Drosophila melanogaster: one gene and its partners. The protein of the gene in region 1 purifies or fractionates together with the protein of each later gene. This does not show direct contact. Each region holds a gene or a part of one and is shown on either strand. Other genes may lie near its edges. The genes, in order: Mcm7, Cdc45, Sld5 and Psf2.

What was found.
Region 2: the proteins of Mcm7 (region 1) and Cdc45 purify together in Drosophila melanogaster (affinity purification with western blotting; 3 studies listed by BioGRID, with this or other methods). This does not show direct contact.
Region 3: the proteins of Mcm7 (region 1) and Sld5 fractionate together in Drosophila melanogaster (co-fractionation; one study listed by BioGRID). This does not show direct contact.
Region 4: the proteins of Mcm7 (region 1) and Psf2 purify together in Drosophila melanogaster (affinity purification with western blotting; 2 studies listed by BioGRID, with this or other methods). This does not show direct contact.

Annotation. Positions count from the first base shown.
Region 1 is NT_037436.4:8,885,716-8,894,810, forward strand, and holds Mcm7 (minichromosome maintenance 7), read left to right. Parts: upstream 1-5,880; 5' UTR 5,881-6,033; coding exon 6,034-6,064; exon of another isoform or gene 6,065-6,128; coding exon 6,129-6,498; exon of another isoform or gene 6,499-6,569; coding exon 6,570-7,071; exon of another isoform or gene 7,072-7,138; coding exon 7,139-8,196; intron 8,197-8,258; coding exon 8,259-8,460; 3' UTR 8,461-8,595; downstream 8,596-9,095. Other genes in the region: dally (division abnormally delayed), read left to right, coding at 560-683, 782-1,255, 1,382-1,571, 2,244-2,419, 2,937-3,144, 3,209-3,347, 3,449-3,603; CG43169 (uncharacterized protein), read right to left, coding at 2,531-2,659, 2,733-2,816; TrpA1 (transient receptor potential cation channel A1), read right to left, coding at 8,973-9,095.
Region 2 is NC_004354.4:1,025,565-1,034,163, reverse strand, and holds Cdc45 (cell division cycle 45), read left to right. Parts: upstream 1-3,607; 5' UTR 3,608-3,836; coding exon 3,837-4,747; intron 4,748-4,799; coding exon 4,800-5,616; 3' UTR 5,617-5,873; downstream 5,874-8,599. Other genes in the region: CG14630 (uncharacterized protein), read right to left, coding at 1,108-1,741, 2,054-2,640; Rpp21 (ribonuclease P/MRP subunit p21), read right to left, coding at 2,711-3,095, 3,155-3,321; CG3021 (uncharacterized protein), read right to left, coding at 6,014-6,529, 6,618-7,271.
Region 3 is NT_033777.3:26,054,341-26,060,970, reverse strand, and holds Sld5 (Sld5), read left to right. Parts: upstream 1-4,423; 5' UTR 4,424-4,479; coding exon 4,480-4,590; intron 4,591-4,650; coding exon 4,651-5,104; intron 5,105-5,162; coding exon 5,163-5,284; 3' UTR 5,285-5,314; downstream 5,315-6,630. Other genes in the region: Trmt61 (tRNA methyltransferase 61), read right to left, coding at 1-34, 710-1,168, 1,223-1,391; RpL34a (ribosomal protein L34a), read left to right, coding at 1,927-1,991, 2,054-2,477; Tcs6 (Threonyl-carbamoyl synthesis 6), read left to right, coding at 2,784-2,818, 2,882-3,182; PIG-P (phosphatidylinositol glycan anchor biosynthesis class P), read left to right, coding at 3,148-3,624; CG14543 (uncharacterized protein), read right to left, coding at 3,663-4,124, 4,189-4,314; Cmpk (Cytidine/uridine monophosphate kinase 1), read left to right, coding at 5,635-6,396.
Region 4 is NT_033779.5:4,385,682-4,388,911, forward strand, and holds Psf2 (partner of Sld five 2), read right to left. Parts: upstream 1,676-3,230; 5' UTR 1,639-1,675; intron 1,390-1,638; exon of another isoform or gene 1,333-1,389; 5' UTR 1,328-1,332; coding exon 1,083-1,327; intron 1,025-1,082; coding exon 658-1,024; 3' UTR 501-657; downstream 1-500. Other genes in the region: Vps53 (vacuolar protein sorting 53), read right to left, coding at 1-141, 202-297; Tps1 (Trehalose-6-phosphate synthase 1), read left to right, coding at 3,044-3,177. UniProt on the Drosophila melanogaster protein: The GINS complex plays an essential role in the initiation of DNA replication.

The DNA of each region.
Region 1 (9,095 bases):
ATGATTGACAGATTATAGATAGCAGTCGATAAATGGTAATTAAAAGGGGAGTCTAATAAAGAACATCTGATTCCAATACAGCAAAAACTAGTATTCATTTATTGGTAGAAAATATATTTATAGAACTTATTAAAGCCTTATTAAAGTAAAAACTTTTACTGGTATTTATTTTACTTGTTTTTTTAGCAACAAATTGCTAACTTAACCTTTTTTGGGGTTTAATAATGCCAGTAATGGAATCACTTTTTTAAGTAGATTTCAGCTTGTATTTCAGCAACTTTATTCATATTTCATTTTACCTGGCAAGGATAACAGCCATATTAAATTGTATTTCATTAACTAAAAGCTTACTCATGCCCAGAAATAAAGAGCAATGGCAACAATTCTTTTTTCCAAGTGGGCGGAAGTGGAAGTCCCAGCCAGTCCATTAGGGCAAAAGTTCCCAGCAAATCCCAGCAGGGGAAACTTTTGGCGGCAAAGTGATTAAATTTCGCTAGGACTAACAATAACCATAACAATATTTTCATGGATGCTTTTCTCTCTGATTTCATTGCGGCAGGTCACGTCCTGGAATTGGCGCAGATTTCGGAGAACATGACCCACTCGCTCTTTTCGAAGGTTTATACCCGTATGGTGCCTTCATCGCGTATGATGATCCATCAACTGTACACCGAAATCATGAAGTAAGTGCTCGTATTTACTCTAATAAAACAACGAACTAGCTGTATTTAATTAATTCGAGTATAGAAGTTTAATTCTAATTGAGTAATTTCTCCTTTAGCCATCTGATTTACACCTCCAACTATACGAACAGCAATGGCCAACTGGGCAGGCGAGGAATTGGCAGTGTCCAGAGCAACTTGGAGGAGGCTGTCAGGCACTTCTTTGTTCAGTTGTTCCCCGTGGCCTACCACCAGATGGTCCATCTGTCCAAGAACAATTTGGGTGACTTGCACGAGGACTACGTTAACTGCCTGCAGCACAACTTCGACGAGATGCATCCATTCGGGGACATTCCCCAGCAAGTGCAGTCCAACTTGGGCAAGAGTGTCCATATGTCCAATGTCTTCATGAATGCCCTGCTCCAGGCCGCCGAGGTCCTCAGCGAAGCGGATGCCCTTTATGGCGAACAACTGACGGACACGTGCAAACTGCATCTCCTCAAGATGCACTACTGCCCCAACTGCAATGGACACCATTCAAGTTCTAGGAGCGAAACGAAATTGTGCTACGGCTACTGCAAGAACGTAATGCGGTAAGTTGAAATGCGGAAAGGGGTTTCGATATGTTCAAAAGATTATATCAATTTATTTACATATATTTTCAAAACTATAAATTGTTATACCGACCATTTGTAATGCCTCTGTTTTATGATCTTCAGCGGCTGTTCGGCGGAATATGCCGGACTACTGGACAGTCCCTGGTCAGGTGTAGTCGACTCCCTGAACAATCTGGTCACCACCCATATTCTCTCGGACACCGGCATCATTAATGTCATCAAACACCTGCAGACTTATTTCTCTGAGGCAATCATGGCTGCCATGCACAATGGGCCTGAACTGGAAAAAAAGGTAAGTAGATCCTTTCAAAAATTTAAGAGCAAACGAGCGAATAAGCGAAGCTTTAAATAACTTGCTCACATTAAGTATTCATTAAGTGCACTCGATTTTAAATCGCATTATCTCTTATTGCATAAACATATAAGATGTATGAGTGGAAGATATTTCAAGGACACAGCTCTGATTTTCAGACATCTATCTGCAGATGCGATCGATTTCGTTAACTGGCGTCCCAAGGACACGATCGTTTAATGGTTTAATTGCCAGTTAATTTATGAACATTTTAAATGAATTTAATGGATCGGAATTCAGTTCCGGCCTTCGAACTTGTTCTGCTCGCTGCAGCGGCAGTAGTCTTTAAAAAAATATCTTTGGCATTTCGAGATCTTGTTAAACATGCACATGACATCCAATTGATAGCCGTTCGCACGATTGGCATGTTGCCGGGAATTTAAAATGCTAAATTCGAGTGGAGTCAGAGTTCAGTTCAGTTTAGTCCCGTACCCACCATAAAGTTGCAATTTACATGCAGGGCGATGAGCACTTGGTCAGCTTAATATAATGGGTCAGTTGGGAGGCGGGCAGACACGTGCGCCTTGCATGAGCGGCGGCGATTAGCAAGTGGAAATGGAACCCCCCAAACCGAAGCTCTACATGGTTAACATTCCCCCAATTGTCTTGCAGGTAAAGAAGACATGTGGCACGCCCAGCCTGACGCCCTATTCGTCCGGAGAACCGGATGCGCGGCCTCCGCCCCACAAGAACAACGTAAAGTGGGCCACTGACCCGGATCCGGGCATGGTCCTCTTCCTGTCCACCATCGACAAGAGCAAGGAGTTCTACACGACCATCGTGGACAAGTGAGTATTTAGACGATGCCACAAACTATATTGATTGGGTTGGGATTTCAACTAGCAACTACATTGACTGACCAAACTATGACTTAAAAAGGATAGTGTCCTTGGCGAGGATTAACGCTTCTTGGGCTTGGTTATCATGGCGATCACGTCCTTCAACAGGCAAAAGTACAACGGCGTCACAATGGCCACAAAGAAAATCAAATTGGCGAAAAATCCATTCTTCACTGGCACACGACAGCCCTGAAAATTAGAATTAAATATTATATTAACCAAATTCGAAGCTTAATTATATGCTTTAATATTTAAAACTTACATGTCGAGGTATCGGTGGCATTGGGCGAGCCAAGCAAAAGTCGTGGGCCAAATGATGCATCCACAATACTAGCTCCTTGAACATTTTGTTTTTTTTTTTAAACTTATTGAACAACACAGAATAGTTGTTGTGAATTTCAAAACAACGAAATAGTGAATTGTAACAACAAGCTTACTAAGCTCATATAACTTTTTCATTCATCAGCTTCTGCGATGAGCAACAGCACTCTCGTGACGATCACTCCTGCTGGTCAGGCGATCGTTTCGGGGACTACACTCAGCTGCTGATTAATCCGGGCACTGATAGCCAGCGATATAATCCCGAGGTGCCCTTCAATGCGAAGGCTCAGACCGGCAAGCTGAACGAGCTGGTCGACAAGCTCTTCAAGATTCGCAAGAGCATTGGAGCTGCGGTAAGTTTGGTCCACCATTTGGGCATTTGGAACACTTTATTCATTTTTCGGCACACCTCCACAGGCACCTTCCAACAGCATACAGGCGACGCACGACATCCAGAATGATATGGGTGAGGGCTCCGGCGGCGGAGAAGGTCAGATCGGCGACGATGAGGAGGAGTATGGAGGCGCACATGGTTCCGGAGATGGTTCCGGCGATGGTAAGTTGTTACAAATCTTTAAAAGTCCCTACATGGTCGCTTCCTTCCGTAAAAAAAAAAAAAAACATTCCTCTTAACCCATTTTCTTGTTTTATTTTCAGGACCCCATACGCCCATCGAGGAATCCGAAGGCACCACCACCAACGAAGTGGAGTCGCGTGACAGCGGCAAGACCAGTGGGTCCAACCCACTGGAAGGCACCGCGACGTGGATGCTCCTCACTCTAGTCACAATGCTCTTTAGTAGCTGTAGTTAAGGATGCTGCCCCAGCCCAAGGGATTGAACACAAAAAACGCAATGCCCCCCACTGTGCGAGGGCAATGAATGATGTAACCAGAAGAAGAGCAACAGCAGATGCACACGAATCGAGTTAAATCATTAATTAATAACTATTATCATTATTATTATTATTTGTGTAATTCTTAAGTTGTTACAAGTAATTTATAGGCCCTAAGCGCATTCATCTAGCAATCGACTAACAACTTTACAAACCAGAAGCGAACCGTGAAACCCTTGAAGTGCACCTCTCCTTCTAGCTTTTCCAAATTTGATGCTCATCGAACTTCCATGCCGAATCCAACTAGACTTGTGTGCCATATAAATGCGTTGGATATTTGCATACGAATCGAGCAATTGCTAAACACAACTAACTAAAAACGAAAATTAAACTAAATAGGCTCGCAATCAAGCAGAATCCCTTTTCCATAGAGTGTGCAGTTTGTTCAGATACATGTTAATATATATAGCGTACAGTACACAAAGCTCAATGTTCAAAGCAAGTTGTTCCTTTTCGGTGTAATTACACAAGTAAACAGATCTAAAATCAGAGGCGTGGCACCACATTCAATTGCTAGGTTTTTTGGGGGCGATCACAATATATTATATACGTAAAGGATATAAATCTGTTAGCTGTAGCTCAGTGAATGTTAAACTAAAATGAAATTATTGTTGTCTACACCTTTCGAACTGAACGAATGCGAACAATTTTGAAATTGATCAATTGGGTAATCGAAATGCGAAATGCATACGAATGGAATTTAGTTGAGTAAACGCACGGAAAAACTAGAAGACTTACAGCTTTATACGCAAACAAAAACGAAAAAAAAAACGAAGGCAAATCGATGAAAATCTATTGATATATTAATACGTATATTATATGTAGCATTACTTAAATTATATGAACAAAGAGAGAAGACGACCTTGGGGGGATAACAAATGGAAAAAATGTCATACAATGCATTCAGCTAATTAGAGTTCACAGAGCACTTGGATTTCTTCTTGGGGAGAGAGTGCAGAAAATGCAGAGTTCAGCGCACAAATCACAGTTCGCAAATTTGCAATTTCAATCGAAACTAATGTTGCAATCTTACGGATACTTTACAGTGGGGCAGAGCGCTGCTGAATCAAATCCAGAGAGCAGCGCTGGCGGCACTCTAAAAAAAAAAACAAGTAAATATATATATATACAAATGAATATGAAATATGCATTAAAACGAGTATGGCGCCAGCGATAAGAATGCAGTCTATATATATACATATATATATATATAAATACATAAATGAATTAACTAATTAAATCGTAATTATATGCTAGTGCGTAAACGTAACGATTAGCGCGTAATGTGTAAAAAGCAAACAGTTGAACGAAAACAACAAATTTAGTTAGTAGCAAATTAACAAAGGAAACGCCAACTGCCGCCGCACACAAATTGGCATATAGGCATATATACATACATATATCGCATATACACTTCGATTCGATCGAAATTAGATCGTATTGTGCCGGCGAGCTGGTTGAACTATGTATAATTATTATTTGTATCATTATTATTTAACTATTGCATGTGATTAATAATATTTAAGTTAAACGTAAACGCAACATATTAAATTGTAACTCGTTGTAAATCTATTCGGAGATAACCAATGCGAATCGAAAATTGCACTAAAAATAAATGTACTACTTTTAGATGCCTAAAAACCAATAAATAATTATGTAACAAGAAACGCAAGTCCAAGAAGTTTATTGAAAGCGATACGCAATAGTGCTATGAGTGTAACGGCAGACAAGCGAAAATGAGAACTTTTGTAAATTTCATTTAAAACCTGAATAAACGTCAATATTTGAAATTCAAATTTAGCGCGTCTTAATTATGCAAGCAGGTGGCAACACCATTGAACTCAGCATTCTTGACTAGAATCGAATACACATGTGTAGAATTGCGGGTGGCAACTTCCATCATATGAAGAAGTCAGAGTGGCAGCTCCGGACATGTAAGCAAATACTCTACATGTTTCCCGACATTAAAAGTACGTGTATTTTAAAGATATAATGATATGGTAATAAATATTTAAAAGTGTAAGTTTATGGTTCACGAACATTTAAATGTATTAATTTTGAAGTTATCTATAATTACAATTATCTATAACAACAATTTTCATTATACATTCTACATATGTAATTATGTAAAAATATAACGATAGTTTTATATTTTTAATTTATCTCACATCTCAATCTATAGTACCATCTCTAATCAAACGCGTTTTTGGCGGGAAGCGTTTACATTCTCATTGTTTTCCCCGCATTTCCCAGCAAACAGCGTCCGAAAAAACACCTTTGGCAAGCAGCTGTACGCAATTTGTTGTTCATTGTTGAAAGTACAAAAAAAAAAAAAAAACCAAGCCCAAAATGGCTCGACGAGATTATGCCCAAGACCGAGGTAAGTACAAAGAAGTCTTTATCTTGGACGAAGCATCAAACATTCAATGTTTGTTGATTTGCAGAATCTATCAAGACCTTCCTTTCGGAATTCTGCAAGTGCGACGATGATGGCAAAAAGGAGTTCGTCTACGGATCTCAGCTGGTGAAGTTGGCCCATCGAGAGCAAGTTCTGATCACCATCGATCTGGATGATCTGGCGGAATTCAATGAAAGTCTCGCGGAGGCGGTGGTCGACAATTGTCGGCGATACACGTCCATATTCAGCGATGTAATTGCTGAACTCCTGCCCAGCTACAAACAGCAGGAGGTACACGCCAAGGATGCTCTGGATGTGTACATTGAGCACCGCCTGATGATGGAGTCCCGCACCAGGAATCCCATGGAACAGCGCGATGAGCGGAACTCTTTCCCCTCGGAGCTGATGAAGCGATTGTAAGTTTTTCAATTGAGCGATTTTCGCAGTTTTCCTCCGAATCTAACTCTAAAAATCGAACTCCTTTTAGCGAGGTGGGCTTCAAACCACTGTCCACAGAGAAGGCGCACTCTATTCGCGAGGTTAAGGCCCAGCACATTGGTAAACTGGTCACCGTTCGCGGCATTGTTACACGCTGCACGGAGGTTAAGCCCATGATGGTGGTTGCCACCTACACATGCGATCGCTGTGGCTCGGAGACGTATCAGCCAGTTAACTCGCTATCCTTCACGCCCGTGCACGATTGCCCGTCGGATGATTGCCGAGTGAACAAAGCGGGAGGTCGTCTGTATCTGCAGACCCGCGGCTCCAAGTTCGTCAAGTTCCAGGAGGTCAAAATGCAGGAGCACAGCGACCAGGTGCCCGTGGGCCACATTCCGCGCAGCATGACCATCATGTGCAGGGGTGAGGTCACTCGAATGGCCCAGCCTGGGGATCACATTGTGGTCTCTGGAGTGTTCTTGCCACTAATGCGCACAGGTTTCGCTCAGATGATTCAGGGTTTGCTCTCGGAGACATTCCTTCAAGCTCACGTGAGTTACCTCGTTTAAGTGCAACAATATTATATAAATGTTTAATATATTGTTACCTTCCTAATAGCGCATCATCTGTATCAACAAGAACGACGAGATTTCGGACAAGGATGCCGAGCTGACTCCAGAAGAGCTGGAGGAATTGGCCCAGGATGACTTCTACGAGCGCTTGGCCACCAGCTTGGCACCCGAAATCTATGGCCATTTGGATGTTAAGAAAGCGCTGCTCTTGCTGTTGGTCGGAGGAGTTGACAAGCGGCCCGATGGCATGAAGATTCGTGGCAACATTAACATCTGCCTGATGGGAGATCCCGGTGTGGCCAAGTCGCAGCTGCTGGGCTACATTAGCCGATTGGCCGTGCGATCGCAGTACACCACAGGGCGAGGTTCTTCGGGGGTGGGTCTTACCGCTGCGGTCATGAAGGACCCTCTCACAGGCGAGATGACATTGGAAGGAGGAGCTCTTGTGCTGGCTGATCAGGGAGTCTGCTGCATTGATGAGTTCGACAAGATGGCGGATCAGGATCGTACAGCCATTCACGAGGTGATGGAACAGCAGACCATTTCGATAGCCAAAGCAGGCATCATGACGACCCTAAACGCTCGCGTTTCCATCCTGGCCGCTGCTAATCCCGCTTTTGGACGCTACAATCCTCGTCGTACCGTGGAGCAGAACATTCAGCTTCCCGCAGCCCTGCTCTCACGTTTCGATCTGCTGTGGCTCATCCAGGATAAACCGGATCGCGATAATGATTTGCGCTTGGCCAAGCACATAACCTATGTGCATAGCCACAGCAAACAGCCACCCACTCGAGTAAAGGCTCTGGACATGAATCTTATGCGGCGCTACATTAACCTGTGCAAGCGCAAGAATCCAACTATTCCGGATGAGCTCACCGACTACATTGTGGGAGCTTATGTGGAGTTGCGTCGGGAGGCGCGCAACCAGAAGGACATGACCTTCACCTCGGCACGTAACTTGTTGGGAATCCTGCGGTTGTCCACCGCTTTGGCTAGGTTGCGTCTTTCCGATAGCGTGGAGAAAGATGATGTGGCTGAAGCACTGCGTCTGCTGGAGATGTCTAAGGACTCGCTCAACCAAATCCACGAGCACCAGAAGGGACAGTAAGTAGTTGCAAAGGATGTAAGTAAATCCTTGTGCTAACAAAAATATTTCTCATTTTCAGCGTACCCAACACTTCGGATCGAATCTTTGCCATCGTTCGTGAACTGGCTGGCTCTGGAAAGGCAGTCAAAATCTCCGACATCATGGACCGCTGCACAACCAAAGGATTCAAGCCCGACCAGGTGGACAAATGCATCGATGATTACGAGGAGCTCAATGTCTGGCAGGTCAACATGGGACGCACGAAGATCACATTCATGTAGATCGCACGCTTCATCCCACATCTTACATTTAGTAAATAAGTTTATGTCTCTTTATCGCCAATCGTTAAAACTACTCTCATACATTGTCACTTTACCATTTATCATTGTCATAAATAAATAAGAATTTTGTATTTGACTTGAGGAGTGTGTCTCCTTTGTTCCAAAATGTATGCTGTTTTTCTGGTTAATATGATTTTATTTTATATACTTTTTAAAAGACATCCAAATAACAATACACACTTTTGCAAATTGCATTTAAAACTACAATAGATCTGTTGAATTCCACAGCTTAATCAAGTTACGAGAACAGCCCATGATCCTTGCCTATAAATTCGATGTATTATTCCTTTCAGGACCTCACACAATACGATCGTCACATACACACACGATCCACGTCACTGTGGGACAACGATTTACACACACATAGAGATATATTAAAAATGGTGCAATTTTTCTACTAAGGACGATACACAGATTTTGTTATAAAGCCAAGTTCCTTCGAACGAAGGGATCTACATGCTCTTATTGAAGCTCAGGGCGGCTCGGAGTTTATTCCGGACTCGCGGCGAGTTCCATCGATTTCCGCCTGCCGATCTCAAACCGACGACGGATCGCAACTCGTTTGGGGATATACC
Region 2 (8,599 bases), on another chromosome or scaffold:
TGGCGTTTGCTGACCGTATATTAGCCACCTTACGTGGGCTATACGTTTATTCAGCTTAGTTTTCAAACCGCCACGGTGTTTGCCCATACTCAATAGAACTCTACTCACTCAGATTTTTCCTTGGTTTTTGCAGTTCCATTTAATTAGTCCAGTCTTCTTCCAGTCCAGTGTTCCTTTGTTCCTTTGTTTTCACCAGCTTTGGTCAATTCGTCCAGCGTTGGACGACTGTCACGGTCGCCATGTAATGATGAACTCCAATTAAGAACACAAGTCCGTTTTAAGTTGAAGGCAGCCGTCGGGCTGACATATATTTATTCAATTTCTTCTTTTGATTTTAGAGTAGGCAGAAATGGTTCTGTCAGCTCAACGTCTACCGAGTCTCTCCCTGATTTTACAGTTTTTTAATATATTTGGACTTAGGCTAATCCGCGTAGCTGCGCTGCCGGGTACGCCAGCAGCGGAGCGGCGTTCTTATGTATATCTTATATATCTAGGCTTATCGGGAGAGCGAGATATGTATGTACGTATGTAATATGTATTTGGTCGGCGTGTGAATGCTGACCATGCACTTATACTTTTTGCCTTCGAGTGGGCAATGCACTTATACTTTGTGGCCTTCGAGTGGGTGATCATGTTACATCCGCCCTGGCCTAACTGCGTGCATAAACATAAACATAAACATAGCAACAAAGTGCTGCCATAAGTTAATATGCTATTTTATTTAATTGTTCTTAATATTGCATAGGCACATACTACACTCATATTTCGGGCGGTGTTTGGTTAAATTCTCATATTTCCATTATATTTATATTTGTATAAATGTAGTACATATATTATGCTAGAGGTGGCAGTTATATCGATGTTATCGCGATGCCAGAGCGGAGTTACTCAACCACGGCAGTATCGAGAAGTGCTCGACCACTGGGCTTGTATCGATAGTATCGGCGCCGTTCATCGTAGGATTCAAACACGTTTCAAGTGAAATTCATTTGCAAGTTGAGACACAATATTTATACACCTCCCAAAATTTATTCGCTGTGCCATGTGTAAAAAAAAACCATTTAATTCACAGTTACATTTCAACTAAATCTCACAACATTCCCTCAGTCAATCCTTGGCATTTGGGAACTTCAGGGTTCGCAGCTTGGAGTAAATAATGTCCCAGTCGACGTAGGCGCCCACCAAATGACGCTTGTTGCCCGGCGCATCCTCGTAAGCCGTTCTTCCGTGCAACATTCGCAGGTTGTTGAAGACGAACACATCGCCGGCTTGGGTCTTGAACTCCACCGCCTCGGACTGGGCGATCTCAAGGAACTTATCGTAGGCTTTGTACCAGGACACGGCCTGCGCCAGGGAAACGGAGAACCGGCTGTCCCGCTTAGTGGTGTTCTGGTTGATCCTCGCGAACCGGCCATCCACATCCAAACAAATTACTGGCGCTCTCCAGAGACTGTGGAAGGGCTTGGAGTCATCGCCGTCGTGTCCGATGTCAAACCAGTTAACGGGCACCGACTTGAGCACCTCGAAGTCCTCCGGATGCAGTTTTTGCAACTGCGAGGCCACGTTGAAGCCATCTGTCAGCGTATTTGCTCCACCCTTTGACTCCGACTGGACGAGGGTGTGCAGGATGTTGATGCCCGCCTTGTACTCGTAGTAGGGCATGTCGGTATGAAGCGGCAGGGGAGTCATTAGATAGGCGTAGTTGCGCGCATTTGGTTTGGATTTAACCTCGAAAACGTCGCTAGGGGAGGCGGGATAGTAGATAATTTATAGCTGAACTTGAGTAATGCAACTAAGGTGTTTTCCCTTTTAATTTATGAAATGTGGCTAGCATATTCTGTAGTAGTATCTAGCGTGAGTAAGTGGTAATCAAATCTTTATCATGAGTACAAATGGACACCTGGTTGAAAATATTTGCCTGATTCTGGCTGTAACAATCAACCGATAGTGATAATATTTAGTGGACTGATAGATAATACAGCTCTCGGCAAATGTGAGTTTTATGACCCTGGTACTGTACGATGAAGTATGTCATCTATTGGTTAATATTTACCCGTAGGTGGTGCGTTTTATGTAGCCAATTCGTTCGGCCAATTTCTTAGCCACATTTATGTCGTTGGGTGCCCCTTTCAGAATGGCGAATCCTTGGACTGCCAGTGCCTCAAGCCAAACTCTCAGGGCTGCATCTTGCTCCAGCACATCCTCGTATTGGAATTCTCTTTTCACATCCTCGAACTCCGTTTTTCCCCAGAGTTGAGCGGGTGGCTTGTAGACCTCCTCCAAGTAATGCTTTCTGCCAGTCTCTCCAAAGTCCCTTTCCCTCAGCCAGCCTAGATCGAAGGTGCTCCTGTGCTTGTCCTGCCAGATGATCTCCAACTGTTTCCTCTCCTTGTTGTAGGCCACTTGGGACACTGGTATATTCAGCGGGCCACGATCCCAGTGACTTTTTCTTGCTCTTGTGGCGGCGTGGAAGCACTCGGCACACTGACAGTTGTCCCTAAGCCAAACTTGGGGGTACTTCAGGAGATTGCCCTGCTCCTCCTGGACTTCTACATAGTCGGGGCATAGTCGCACACAAGCAAATGTGCTCGCCTGCCGAAGAAGGCTCAGCCGAGAAATAAGTTGCCTACAGCTAAGCATTCCAGGCTCAACTGCCGAGCAATCAGGTGATGGCACAACAGGCAGGCTGGCTGATAAGCAAAGCTTCAGCTTATCGCTCGTCTTTCTCTTTGGGGAGCGAGACCACTTGCACTATGGATTGCGGCTGCTCCAACCAGCAGTCTCTTTGACTGTTCGCCGCAAAGCTTCGCCGGCCGCAGCAGAGTGAGCACTCTAAGAAAAAAGAGACCTGTTCAGTACTTTCTTGGATTTGCTCCTCGGATTCCTCCTGGTTGGTGTTCCCTGTTTTCCGGCTTCTGGGCTTCTTGCGCTGCCTGCGATGGCGCTTTTTCTTCGTTTTGACTGCTCCGTTCGATTGAGCTTGTGCATCAGTCTTGGCCTCCTGTGCTCCTTCCTCCACATGCAGCTCCGTATTCACTCCGGGAATCAGGGGAAGGAAACAGCGCCTGCACAGGGAACGCTTCACGGCCGGGGCCCTTGAAACCAGTTGACGCCATGAATTATTTGCCCATACTCCACTGGAGAAGCCACTTACATGTGCATGATAGCCTTGGTGCCCACATTGCGGCAGAGTTTGCCATAATAGGCGGCCAATTTTGGTTGATTGCCTACTGCCATTAAATTCGAGGCCTGGAACAGGTAGTTCATGCGTGAGGAGATGGCCCGCTGGGTCAGGTGCTTCATCTTGTTGTCCCTGCTCATATTCTGAGGCTTTTGTCGCACAAAGCTGGTCGACTGGTAGACTTTCGTTTTTGTGGCAATTCAAAACACATGGGCGTCGCGGTGTGACCGTATCTGGAGCGCCAAGATATTGCTCCTACTGCAATAGCAGCAACTGCAAAGAGCTCTCAAAATTCAACATTATGTGATTATAATTTCGGTTTTTGGCAGCTCAAAATTTCTGGAAATTCGCAGAATATTCTTTTCCCAGCAACGATTGTATTTCCGCGCCATTCCATTATTTCACACTGGTCACACTGGCTAAGCCAGCTGTTTCCCGCGTTTTTGATTCGCCAATTGCGATTGCCAGAAAAGCAAAAGTGGAGCGGCAGTGGGAAGCTGGAAAATAGCGCAAGCCGCAGGGAAACCCTCAAAATGCAACGCACTGCACTCATGTAGAATTCTACTTTGCATCGTAAGCGATTGGAAAGAGACCGTTGTGTCTAGACGTAGACAGATTAGGCAGACGATTGGGATTCCCGCCAGAAGTGTTCACCATGTTTGTCCAGGATCTGCGCAACGACTTTTACCGCCAGCTGGTTGGCAAGCGCATCTTGATCGTGGTCAACTACGACATCGATGCCATCTGCGCCAGTCGCATCCTGCAGGCCTTGTTCAAGTACGATCACATGCTGTACACCGTGGTGCCCATAATGGGCGTTACGGGTCTGAAGCGGGCCTATGGAGAGCACCAGGGCGACGTTAAGTACGTGGTGTTGGTGAACTGCGGCGGCTGTGTAGATATTGTGGAGCTCCTGCAGCCGTCGGACGACGTGACCTTCTTCATATGCGATTCACATCGCCCGTTGGATGTGTGTAACATCTACAGCGATCGGCAGGTGTGCATCTTGGGGGATGCCTCCTTGGAGGAGAATATTCCAGCGTTCGAGACAATTTTCTATGACTCTGAAGGTGAAGACGAGGATGAGGACGAGTCCTCTGACACGGAACAGCAGCACGACGACAGTGGTGCCGGGGAATCGGACCAGGAGGATCAGGCGCCAAGGAGCCGTAAGCTCAGTCGCCTGGAGCGGCACGAGCAACGCATCCTGAAGCAGCGAGCCCGCCGACAGTGGGAGTCTGAGCGCGACAGGATTATGTTCGAGTACACGCAGTTCAGCTACTACGGCAGGTCCGCCGCTTTGATGGTTTTTGAGTTGGCCTGGAAGCTCTCAAAAGACAACATGGACCTGCTCTGGTGGGCCATTGTGGGCATCACGGAGCAGCTGCTGCTGGGCAAGATCGAGAGTGGAGCGTATACTTTGGAGCTGGAGCAAATCCAGTCGCATGTGTCCCGACTGACGAACAAAACGAATGATCAGAACACGATGAGTGCCTCCAAGATAACCTTCGAGAATGATTTGCATCTGGTCTTGTACCGCCACTGGCCCGTCACGGAATCCATGAGGTGAGCATTGACAGTGTATTCTATGCCATTTAATCATGTAGTATAATCGTAGGTATTCCCGCTACTCCTCATGCCAGCTGAAGCTGTGGACACTGCGCGGAGAGAAGAGATTACACGAGCTGCTGCTCGAGATGGGACTTCCCTTGGTGCACGCCCGCCAAACGTACGGAGCCATGGATTTGGTGTTGCGCAAGGAGTTCTTCTCGATGGTGGAGCGCCTGGCGGAGAAGTACGACATAGCGGACATAGTTTACGGCACCTTTACGCTGAGCTACGGCTACCGCAGCAGATATGCTGCGGCGGACTACGTTTATGCCCTGCTCGCCATCATGGAGTCCGTGAAGAAGCACAAGACTCCGGAGGATTGCTTTCTGGAGGCCTCGGATGCTTTGAGTCGTCAGCACAAGCAGCTGCTGTCTGCAGGCATCGACCAGGCGAAGCTTTTGCATGCTGCTGTCTTTCGGCAGGTGCAGAGCAGCTTGGAGGCACGCCAAGTTCATTCAGCGGGCTCCTTTTTCTACTACGTTCTGCAGGAGGAACACGCGTTCTTCTCATACCCCTATGCCCTTGGACTGTTGGCTCGCTTTCTTTTGCGCGGACATGTGGCCACGAGTAGAGCCAGGCAGGCTTCGGACTTGCCGTTGATCGCAAGTTGTCCCCTGAACGCTTCGGAGGGCATGTGCTTGCTGGTAGGCATTGTCCCGGTAAGGGAAGACTCTCCGCGAAACTTCTTTGGCAAGGCCTTCGAGCAGGCGGCGCAAAAGAGTGGAGTCGCTCTATTGCAGGACTTTTTCGAGCCAGCGGTGGTGCAGCTGCGGCAGAGCGACCTCACACGCTTTCTGGACTCCCTCACGGTGCTGTTAGCCTAATCCACGCCGCTTTCTATTCTACCTGCTACCGACACATCCCTGCTCAATCATATTATGTGCTAAGCTAGTTTTATATCGCGAGACCTCACGTGTACACTTAGTTTAAGATTTTACCAAACCCTATTTATGTACGATTGTGTGTTAATAACTTTATCATTGCTCCCAGGACCACAAAATGCAAAATGTCCTTTTTCAAAAACTAATTGTAAATTTGACCTAGAATAATAAATTTAAATTAAAGTGTTTACCATGGAATTAAAAGTGTCGATTCACGTCTAAAATTTACTCGGCGCTTAAATTTATGAAAACGTATTTACCATGCTATCTATACATGCCGTGTTGGCAGTTGGACTGCCTTCTTACATTTGGTTTATTTTCTGGCTCAGAGGAAACATCATTAGCTAACCAGATTTGCGGCTTGAGCTTGCTGCGTCTGTGCGTTTTTTTTCTTTAGGGGATTAGCGCTGAGGATGCGGGCCGAACCCAAACAAGCTGTGTCGTCATAGAATACGGCATATTGTCCTGGTGTAATAGCTCTTAAAGGAGCGTCCAACTCGACAAGAAAAGTGTTACTGGGAGAGATGCTCAGCTGACAGTCCACCAATGGTTTGGTGTGCTGGAATCGAAAGCGACACCTCAAGCTGCCAGTGTCCGAAAGAATCTGTTGGGACTTGGAACACAGCCAGTTGGGCGGATCGACGGCTATGTGGGTGCTGAGAAGGGCGGGATGGTTGTGGCCAGATGCCACATAGATGGTATTGCTTGCGGCCTCTTTCCTGGCCACAAAATAGGGCTGAAGGAATGAGCTCAGACGGCACCGCTGGCCCACAGTCCATTGATGGATGCCCTCGTGGTGGCCGACAACGGCTCCACTGTCGATGTCTAGGAAGGGACCACGTTTGGAAGTGATGTACTGAAAGTGGAGGGAAACCAGATTTGAGTCCGTGGTGAAATCAAGGAAATTGAGCCATGTGCTTTTTCAATCGCGGCAAGTGCTTTACCTCCTGTATGAAGTCCTTGAAGTTGCGTTTGCCAACGAAACAAATGCCAGTGCTTTCCTTCTTTTTGGCCAGTCGCTGGAAGCCAATCTTCTTGGCCAAGTCCTTGACCTGGCTCTTCTGGAAGTCTCCCAAAGGGAACATCGTGCGTTGCAGAGCCTTTCGGGAAATACCTGCCAAAAAGAATGTCTGGTCCTTGAACGTATCGGCGGGTATTAGCAAGCGGGCGTCGTTGTTGGAGGCAATCCCCTCCAGGTAGTTGCCCAGACTATTCCGGGCGTAGTGACCCGTGGCCACGGCATCGTAGCCGAGATTTTCCAAGGCGTGCTTGTGAAAGAGGTCAAACTTAATGTGGCGATTGCACAGGATGTCCGGATTTGGTGTCAAGCCCATTTGGTAATCGTCCAGAAACTGGCTGAACACCGCCGTCCAGTACTCGCGCACATAGTTCACCTGACGCAGCTCCACGCCGAGCTGCCGGCACGCCCACTCGGCGTCCTTCAGATCCGCCTCCCCACTGCAGCGACCCACTTCGTCCGCCTCATCCCAGTTGCGCATAAACACACCCAGCACCTTGAATCCTTGCTCCGCCAGCAGGTGGGCGGAAACGGCGCTGTCCACGCCGCCCGACACGCCCACCACTACGTTGCGAATCATTGGGCGGTGTTGGCAAAGCAATAATTTCAAAGTTATGTGTTTCACGTTAGACGAACAGCAGTTTTTGTTTATGCGGCAGAAACAGTTGATGTGCTTTCCGTTAGTTTTTGGTATTTATTTTGGGTATACCATGGTATTATAAACTATCGCATCGGTGGTCACACTAATAATACCGGCGTTTAATGCGCTGTCAGTTCAGTTCATTCAGTCGGGCCATGAAGCAAAGCTCCGCGCATTGTGGATTTGCGCGTGTCGAAAGGGGAAACAGCAAAAACGCCATTTTTTTCGAGTAACGGTGCGTGCGTAATTTTATCCGTTATCTTTCCTCGACAAACATTCGAACTGGGAAACAACAGGAATTCCATTTTTTCGAGTTAAGGTAGGTCAGTAATTTAACCGTAATATTTTCTCACCAAACTGTAGAAATGGGAAAGGAGCGAAACTCCATTTTTACGACCGAAACTCCATTTTTTCGAGTGAACACTGTGTGTGTTGTGTATGTGGGAGGAGTCACTTCTGAGTGCACGTTTTCCCCCTCATCCGTTATCTATCCGTCTCTTTTTTTCTGTTTTTTTCCGCAAATGGGCATGATGCAGTTTTTGAGAATTATGCTCGCATTCTAGTCGCACACGGGACTAGACACCGTGCGCATTTTGACTCGGCATTCTTACGGGGCATTGCCGGCTTCACAGCCATTTGTACAAATTGGCATTGCAGAAGTGAACTCTGTCGCTTCTGCTGCATGGATGGCGCTTGGCCATCAAGAGAAACAGAATCCCCTGAACCACAATAAAATTCTGGCATTTATACAGTGCATTGGACTTCAGGGGGATCGTTGAGTCATGAAGGGGTAGTAGTACAATAGAGCCGACTGGGTCGCAGTACACCTACAAACCCACTTAATAATAATAAGTCGCTAACAGTTGTGAAGTAAAGTGTATAAGTTGTGAAACAACAAGAACTCCATTTTTTTTTAAGGTGCGTGTGTGTGTCACGCTTTCTTTTCTCCCTCATCTGTTATTTATCCTTCCATAACAAACATTCGAAATAGGAAACAACAGCAACTCCATTTTTTTTCGAGTGAAGATGTGTGTGTGTGTGTGTGTGTTAGAGAAGAGCCACTTCTGATTGCACGTTTTCGCCCTCATCCGTTATTTATCCGTCTCTCCTTTCGTGGCAAATCGGCATACTGCAGAGTATTTCGACAAAAAGCATGAACTTTTATGCACCTGCGATGACGAATGCCCGTCGATGTTCTTTGCATGTTTTTTTGTATTTCATCATGGCTAGGGCTGCTGTCTGGGCTTGGGTCGAGGAAGGGCATCCTA
Region 3 (6,630 bases), on another chromosome or scaffold:
TCAATGCAGGGCGAAAACGAACAGAAACGACCTCCTGGAAAGAAAGAGAATGGGAAATCCGGTTATACATTTTTGGTGCCTTTTCTGCTCGACCTCAATTGTAATTACTACATTATAGCTTCTTAAAATTTAAATATATTGGTGGGCAAGCTTTCCCTAACTCTTTTGGTATTGGATATGCCTGACAATTTATTTGTGCCTCCAATACAGTAGCACCCTAGGTTTGGTGCAAACCTGCTGTACATTGGAAGCTCCCATCCGCCTAATGACAAACTCGCCCGGTCAGCCTGCCTTGGCCGCATCAAGTGTCAAAAGCGGGCTCATTCAATGTCAAACACAGTGAAATGGCAGCCGGACTGACTAGCTGACTGGATCTTTGGCTCTTTGGATGGATAACTGACTGACCTACCGACAGTGTTGCAATATAGAAAGCATTGAGGTACCTTTTATCCAATTAGGTACACTTAAGCCCTTTTTTCTTTTTAAAATGGAAGTAAGTTTTTGTTAAGTTATTTTACTATAACTAAAATTTAAGCTGTCTAAACAAAGTTGTCTCCTAGGTACAACTTAGTGTACCAATTTCGACGATTTATTGCATGTATGTGAATGTACCTGGTCATCCCAGTTAACCCAACATATCCGCCTGATTGCCGGATTGCCCGCAAAAGGGCGCTGACAACTAGTTGTCAACGCGATGTTGGCCACTCACCGGACAGCTTCAACGCCTTGAAGGCGTGCGGCACAGCGAGATCGGGCGCGGGCAGATCCAAGAAGACCGCATCGGCCTTTCCGTCCAGTTCCGCACCAAAGCCCAGATTGCAAACGTCCCGGTGATAGACGGTGACGAAGTCAGCGATACCATGTCGCCGGAACTCGTCGCGTGCCTGATCCGCTCGAGCTTCGTGGAAATCGAAGGTGTGCAGGTGGCCAGTGGGTTTCAGTGCTCTTAGAAAGTAATGCGATAGAGACCCCGATCCCGTGCCCGACTCAACCACCACGGCACCGGGTCGGACCTCCAGCTGGTGGATAATCATACTAATATCCGGCGTGTAAATAATCTGTGTGCGGTGGGGCAGTGTTTGTGTCCAGAGTTCCGGCGTCGGCTGAAGGACATGGGCCCAGCCCTTGGAGAGCTCCACTTTACTACCATACTCCACGCCGATGATATCTGGAATAGGAATTGGGATTAGGAGAATCCGTTAAATCTATAACTTTAACTTACTTTCAACTTTTAGCGATCCATAATTGGTCTGAAAAATATGCGGTATTGTTTCGCCCTTTTTGTTCACTATTTCGGGCACCGCTTCGATGGCATGCATGGAACTGACACTCAAATAAAGGATGACCACATCGCCCTTTTCTATGTGGGTCTTGGGTTTCAGAAAACTCATGTTTTTAGTTAAAAACCGTAAGAAGATTTTTTTATTTACAAAATAGCCGCGTGTTTAAGCAATAGAGATGGAAGTTTGGTAATCAACAGGCTATCGATAAGTTTAAGTAAAGTGGCGGGTCAGGGCTACACAAAGTCCAATAATGCATATTTGTACTTTTTGGAAGTTTACATACTAAAAAGTTTAGTAGAACGAATAAACAACTGGTTTTGGTACTAAATAATATATATTGTGTCAGTTAAATGTGTTCGAGATAAATGTTTTGAAATTATCGATAGCAATTAATATCATCAATTTTTCTTCCAGCTCTAGCTTCTCTTCTTCCTTCTTTTGATTTCCGGAGAGGTTTGTGTTTTAATTGTAATGATTATTTTGATTGCAAAAAGCGCTTTAGTGACGTTAATTGCGATGCAAAACTAGACTACCATGTAGTGGCAACGCACTTCTGATGTTTCGTCTTTGTTCTGTTTTTTTCCATGAATTCCTTGGAAATGGTGTTTATTCCGGGTGGTCAATTGGATTCAGAAGCTTTAAAATGGTCCAACGCTTGACTCTGAGACGACGTCTGTCGTACAACACCCGCTCCAACAAGAGGCGCATGTGAGTAGCAGGAGATATGCTGTATATCCCACGATAACTAAGGATTTTCCATTTGTTTACAGTGTGCGCACTCCCGGAGGCCGTCTGGTGTACCAGTACGTGAAGAAGAACCCCACTGTGCCACGCTGTGGTCAGTGCAAGGAGAAACTCCACGGGATCACCCCCTCCCGGCCCAGCGAGCGTCCCAGGATGTCCAAGCGTTTGAAGACCGTCTCCAGGACCTACGGAGGTGTCCTGTGCCACAGCTGCCTGCGAGAGAGAATCGTCCGCGCTTTCCTCATCGAAGAGCAGAAGATCGTCAAGGCTCTGAAGAGCCAGCGCGAGGCTTTGGTCAAGCCCGTCAAGAAGGTTGTGGAGAAGAAGCCGGTGAAGGCTGCCGCCAAGAAGCCCGCGGGAAAGGCAGCCGGAAAGCCAGGTGCCAAAGTCGCCGGCAAGAAGCCCGCTCCCAAGGGCGCTCCTAAAGGAGTCGTCAAGTCCAAGAAGTAACCATTTACCAGAAGGATTTGTTTGGAGCAATGATATTGAACACCTTTTTTTTGTAATAAAGAAACCACAAATTGAAGAAATTAACGTTTTAATTGACAGCTTATTTCCCATTGTTATTAACTTCAAAAACTTAACAAGCGCTTAATTTAAAACATAAATGTGATTATGAAGAATGCTCATTTTTAAACATTTGAATTCTTCAATCAGCTGTTCACGAGATAAACAGCCGGTGAATGCTTCTTCTTCATAAATTGTCATTAACTTTCTCCGTTGACATGTGAGCATTTCAGATTGGTTAAAACTTTTATGATGCCACAAATTGCAAATAAACCAAATGAATCGTAAGTTTAACCATTTAACAAAGAAATAAACATAAATTTAGTAATAAATATTCGCCTCATTAGCATAATAAGAGTGCCGTTTGAGACGCCACGATTGGCCGAGATCGCCTACAAAGTCCTCGGTGTCGACCAGGAGCCGCGCCGGAATTTCGTGAAAAAAACTTTGAGCCTGGAGAACGATGTTCTGGTTGTGCACTTTCAGTCGGATCAAGTGAAGAGCCTGCGCACTGCCATCACCTCCTTCTTTGAGTGCCTGCTCCTGTGCCAGGACACCATCAACCAGTTCGGAGACTCCAAGAAAGAGAAACTAATCCCCGAGAGCAACGACAATGCCGGAACACACTCCAGCTCCGACTCCCCATAGGGCGGTCTATGGTTTCGCCTTCTATATGCTGTTCACGGTCCTCTTCCTCGTATACGTGACTTGGGCGCTGCTGCCAGTGGAGTTTGGTCTGCACTCGTATCTGCCGGACAAGTATTTTGCCGTATTTGTGCCTTTTCTGGTGCTGGTCTTCGCCTGGTTCTTTGCCTTCCTCATCTATCCTGCCATAAATCTATCGATGACAGTGGATGTTGATTCCATTGCCTCGGTGGTGGATCCAAAGCTGGCACTGCCCAAGGGGACAGAGTTCACCTCCTGGTCGCAGTTGCAAAAAGGCAAGGTCAGCCAGGATTCCGCATCAAAGAAGGCCTCTCCAGTGAACTGCAACCTGTGCAGGACTTTCCACCAACCTGTGACACGTGCACCTATTCCACCACTGCGTTTTCTGGACCTCCAGGAAGTAAATACAGCGTATTATAACTAAAAAACTAGCAGGTTTCTTTTTAATCATCCCGACGAAATTCATTTTCTTCGCACGGTGGTCCAGCCGTCTTCCGGTTCCACAAACTCCTCAGCCTGCTGCTTTCGTGCCTGCGATCGCGTCATCCGACCACTGCCGCTGGGAGTTTCCTCGTCGCCCTGGCCCATTTCATTATCGTCCTCCTCGTCGCTGTCGTCCATGTCCTCATCGGATGAGGAGTCCCCATCGATGGGTGTGTAGGTGATCTTAACATCCGGACGCAGCCACTCCTTGCCAGCAGGAAGTTTACTCAATTCAGCCTCTATTTGCGGAAACTGGTTCTGCTGGGCCATCAATTTGTAGCGCAGCAGATTCCGGCAGATCTCCGGAATGGAGTCGTCGTCGCAGAGGGTGTTAAACTCCTGGTCCATCAGCTCCTCCAGGACCTCCACCAGTTCGCCTTGCGTGATATTTTCGTTGGACACGCAGTACTGGTAGGTGTAGTCCATGATTTCTATGGCCACCTACAAAACGGACACTCCGATTAGGTTAGAAAAGAAGACGGTTTCAGGGTATACGAGCAACAACCTGTTGGCCATTGCGTCCGCCCATGCCATGCTCCACCGCCAGCCGGAGATCCTGCCAGTGATTGAAGATCTTCTCTACAATCACTCTAAAATTCTTTTGGAATTCAGTTTGTTGTGCGGCTGCCATCGCATGCTTTTGTGATATCGATAACGGTTAGACGTGCCATTCACACGGAGTAAAAACAAATGAAACAGTGATGAAAAACGTCAACTGTATTACTGGAGTGACATTCCCAACGATTCCCAAAATTTGCGCCAAAATCTGCAAAATAATAAACAAATAAATAAAACCATGTCGGATGTAGAAGACGTGCCCGAAACCCAGTTAGAAATCGATGTCAGCGATGGCGCCGGACTGGAGGATGAGGATGATGACGATATGGAACAGATTACAGCTCAGAAGGTAAGGTAAATCGTAACACAGCTTTTTAATACGCAAGTAATCACATTCTGATATCCCTAGGTTCTGGAAATCATAGAAACCGCGTGGATAAATGAAATGTGTGCGCCGGAGATCCTGCCCAGCCAGACGGACATGCTGGAGCTGATGGTCTCCCAGGTGGCCCACATGGAGGAGCAGATGCGCGATCTGGACAAGAACGATTTCCGAGCGGTGGTGCACTCCATGGAACTGGAGAGGGTGCGCTACATAATGGCCAGTTATCTGCGTTGCCGCCTGCAGAAGATCGAAACCTTCACGCAGCACATCCTCAACCAGGAGGAGAGCCGTGAGCCGGATGACAAACGTCTGTCTCCCGAGGAGACTAAGTTCGCCCAGGAGTTTGCCAGTAATGTGGATGAGTACTTCCACAAAGTAGCCACCCAGTACATGCCCAACCAGCAGAGAGGAGAGGCGGAGCAGAGGATTGTGACGCCCAATCTGATGAGCCATGTCTTTCTTAAGGCAAATGTGGCAGGTAATAACCTTTTGTCATCTAATTAAGATAACCGCTTAACTCTTGTTTTGCTTTCCAGTGCCCGCTGTGATCGTGGGCGTCGATGATGAGGAGGTGGACATGGCGGCCGGCTCCCAGCATATTATTCCCTACCAACTAGTGGCCGACTTGATACAAAACAACCAAGCGCAGCTAATTTAAAAGACTTATTTAGCAGGTAATATACATGATAATAAAAAAAATTAAAAATCAAACTCTGCAAAGCTGCATGTTTAAGGGTACATTTAAAAATGTTGTAGAAGAATATTTAAATTAAATTTAATTTATTTAATATCGAACCGGAAGTAAACTGCATAAAATGCCATTCAAATTGGTTCGCTTCCCGCTAAAGCCGGCGCCAGTGTTGCCGAACGGACGCCCGCGAACAGCTGCGCTTGTGCGTGACGTCACAGGGTGTTACGTTTCCAGTGGAAAACAGTGGTGAGGTGTACTGCAGGCGGCATACACATAAACCACGCATTCAATTTGCCTTCAGTTTGGTTCAGTCGTCAATGTGGCGGGCTTTGGCACGAACGACGTTGAGAGCAGTAGCCAACGATTGCGGTTCACCAGGAGTCGGTCTCGCACCATCAGCGCTGACGCAGCACCAATTGCGACATTCCAAGGCCAGCAATAGGTTCATCACCACCACCTCCACAGCCCCACCACACAATATCGGAATCATGAGCGTAGAGAAGCCAAAGATTGTCTTTGTTTTGGGCGGTCCCGGGGCCGGCAAGGGCACCCAATGCTCCAGGATCGTGGATCGCTTCCAATTCACCCATCTCTCGGCCGGCGATCTCCTGCGCGAGGAGCGGTCGCGGGAGGGCTCCGAATTCGGTAACCTCATCGAGGACTACATTCGCAATGGCAAAATTGTGCCCGTCGAGGTCACGTGTTCGCTGCTGGAGAACGCCATGAAGGCGTCGGGAAAGTCGCGGTTCCTCATCGACGGCTTCCCACGCAATCAGGATAATCTGGACGGTTGGAACCGCCAGATGTCCGAGAAGGTGGACTTCCAGTTTGTCCTCTTCTTCGACTGCGGCGAGGATGTGTGCGTCAAACGGTGTCTGGGCCGCGGCCAGAGCGGCTCTGGCCGGACGGACGACAACCTGGACAGCCTGAAGAAGCGCATCTCGACATACAACAACGACTCGCTGCCCATCATCAAGTTCTTCGAGGGCGCCGGCCAGGTGAAACGGATCGATGCCAGTCCGGATGCGGAAGAGGTGTTCGGGGAGGTGGAAAAGATATTTGTGGCCAGCGGCTTCTAGATTTCCTGTTCATATTCCGGTTATGTGTGTAGTGCTATCCTTACCTTTCATTTGTACCCTCTAAAAAAATACATATATACGCTTGTTAATAGTAATGCATAAGGTACTTTTTCTTCACCCCGATAAGATACAAGATACACATGAAGTTTAGTATACCCAATCAAGGAAAGCGGAGGTACACACACACTTTTTAATATCGAGTAAAAAATGGAGCTAGGCAAAAGTTATTCTGGA
Region 4 (3,230 bases), on another chromosome or scaffold:
ATCAATCAGGGACACCTCGCACTGCATCTTTTGGATGGTCTCATCAATACCGGCCAGCGATTGCTCGTTGGGGAAGAGCTGGTTGATGTAGTCCACAGTGTTGAAGTCCGGCGCATCCATCGGATCGTCCGTTTTGAGAACCTTTTATGGACATTCGAATTGGGTTGGTAATTGCTACCAACATATGTTCCACTGACTCACCTTGTCGATGACCTGCTTCACCTCCTTGGAGAAATGGATTTTGTTGTTAGCAACCATCCTTTCTTCCGGCTCCACCGCTACCGCAGACTCGCTCATCTCGCTTTATCCTTATTTATTTGTATAAAAAAGTTATTGTTATTCTCTTCGTGGAAAACCAGGGATACAGTGCAATTATATGATAGCAGCTGCTGTTAAATTGCTGTCGTGCTGTAAGGCGCAGTCCTGTTAGATAAGCGCATATCGATAAAGAAATTTATCGGAATTTGAAATGCCTTATCAAAAACTTCTAATTCTAATTACTTTTTTTAATTTTCTGAAAGCATTTATATTTAATTTTAAGCATACAAATATTTTTGAACTTTTGAGAGGTTTAATGACTACAGGCTACATAAGCTCCTGCTAATAACTAAATCTATTATCTTAAATGTTCCCAACAATGTTGTTTGACTGGAATAATCACTGAGAAAACAGAGAGTTACTGTTCGGACCCGAACTGGAGCCTGCCATGGATGCACTTAGCATGGAGGTGTCCCTTTGAGACGCAGTGGCCGTGCGCTGGTACCGTGCTATGTGGTCCAGGGAATAGGGCAGAATGGGTCTCACGCTGTGGATCTCCAGAAGCGTGAGGTTGTCTAGCTTTGCATATGTGCCCTCTCCCTTGATAAAGGCGTCGATCGAAGTGCGCAGCTTGGACTCGCGTATGTCGAAGATGTCCTTGATCACAGTGCGCAGCTCCTCGCAACGCGGAACGTCATCCGGAGCCGTGCTCATGACCAACTGGGCCACTACCATGTAATGCTCACAGGGCATTTTGGTAAAGAACCTATGGGCAGGCGGAGAATAAGATTTGCTTTCCACGGGCATACCCACATCATACATACTTTGAGCGCTTTTCCTCCTCCTTGATTTCCTCCAATATATCCATGTCCATCCATTCTGGAGGTACAATTCGGCACTTTTGTTGCTTGCGCAGATGCGTGGCCATCCACAGGGGCACGAAGACGGGAAAACCGGCTCGGAAAGGGCCCACAGGTCCGTATATCAGGTGCAGAGGCTCGTTGCTGAAGTTCGGTATTATGCTGATCATGCATTTTTCGCCAATAAATTCAATAATTGAAGGATCCATAATTGCTATAAACAAACAAAACAAATGCGGGAACATACGGTCACTCGAGCGGCCAGTGATGACACCTGTCCGCTATCGATCTCAATGCTATCGACCCAGTGATCTCTGCAGTCTGGCAGCCCAGCTCTGCTATTGACCGTTAATAACGGTGTTGTTTTCCCAACAATCTGCTTGCATCACGAATCTTTCGCCTGCGGGCTCTGCGTCAATTTAATCACGTCAAACTATAGACTTCTGCGACATAATAGCCACAGTTCGCCACTATAAATATGCCAACCGTAATTCGGCGACCTTCGGCCGGGTTATCTCACCATCATTACCACTATCGCCGGCCGGATCGGATCGCATCGCATTGCTGCACCGCTACAACCGATGGAGCTGACTAATTTGTTCTCCCGGTGCGAATGTGTTATTGCAGATTCCGGCTAAGGCGACGACAACTATCAAGAATCACGTAAAACGCCAGCCGGGCATCGTGATAAGCGCATGAATGCCAAACATGATCAAGCGTTCAAGTTCAGCCAAGTTTTCCGTTCTATAATATATAAGCTGCCCGGGCGTAATCCCTTGCACCACTTCGCCGTAAAATCCGAGACTAAAATGCACTAGATAGCCTTATCGGTCTTGTATCTTTCCGGGCAAATAAAACTATACGCCCGGTAATGAACTCCAGAAATGGCGGTCATTACAAGGTTAGATCTGCACTAGCTGGAATCCCAAACTGAACAGATTTCAACTGCAATCTGCAGACAACTTCGATAGAGAAACGAAAATAGAAATACAAATCTTCTGTGTACAATTCGGATGTTCTTTATAAGGCTGAGCCCGAAGCGTAAACAACAGCATCGATTTGTTGACTTATCGCATCGAGAGACAACATCGATGAGATGGAATGGGATGGGTGGTGGTTAGGGGGAGGAGGCGGAGGATGATGAGGTTGTGGCCGTCGTTGCCGTGAAATGTTCCCGAGCTGATAATACCAGGCACGGCCAGTTAATTCTAGAAAACTATCTGCGGTGTGTAAACTGCGGCACCGATAGTTCAGATCACATCCCCATGACATCTAACCCCTTCAAGGATCAATTGGGTGAACACTTGGCCACTAGGCCAGGACAGAAGCGGTAGGTATTCTCCTGCGCAGGTTTCGATTCTCTCACATCCGCTGGGAAAAATGTAATCAGCGCGAGAGGAGCAGATGCCGGACGATTTTCTGATAAGCCGGAGAGTGGACTGTGGAACCCATGATGGAATGGGTGGAGGGGGTTGGCTGGCTGGCATTAATTTTTAGCAGAAAAGTGCGACTTGATCGCCTAGTTGGCTTAGTGCTTGTCTATTTTCGGCAGGGTACGGAGCTGCTGGCTCTCGCGACCATCGAAACTAACGTAATCGACTCACCGCCAATCAGCCAGGAAAATTGCCTGCCATTTCCACGTAGAATTGCATCTGAGAGTAGCTTTGATAAGAAGGCAGTGATTGACTTGGCTTCGAGCAGTCTTCAGTCATCGATCAGCGCATCTCGAACCAAATTCGGCAACGGTCGCTCTCGCTTCGGAAGAACGGACTCGTTCATTGATAAGCCTGGATTTGAACTAGACGGTTGTCTAACCTCCACATCCGCGAATTTTCCCATACGCTGTTGTCAAAAATTATGTGCTAGACTTGACCGCAGGAGAAGATTCGTTTAACTCTTCTACAGCTAGCTTACCAAGGATCACGATGCCCGACACGGAAATCATCGTTACCAATGCCGGGGAGCCCTCCACCAAGGCGAGTCTCATCGTGGTATCCAATCGGTTGCCGTTTGTGCTTATCCGAGATCCGAAGACCGATGAGTTGGAACGCAGGGCCAGGTGGGTACATTAAAAAAAAAAGACTTATATAATCCAGTTTAACAAATACGTGT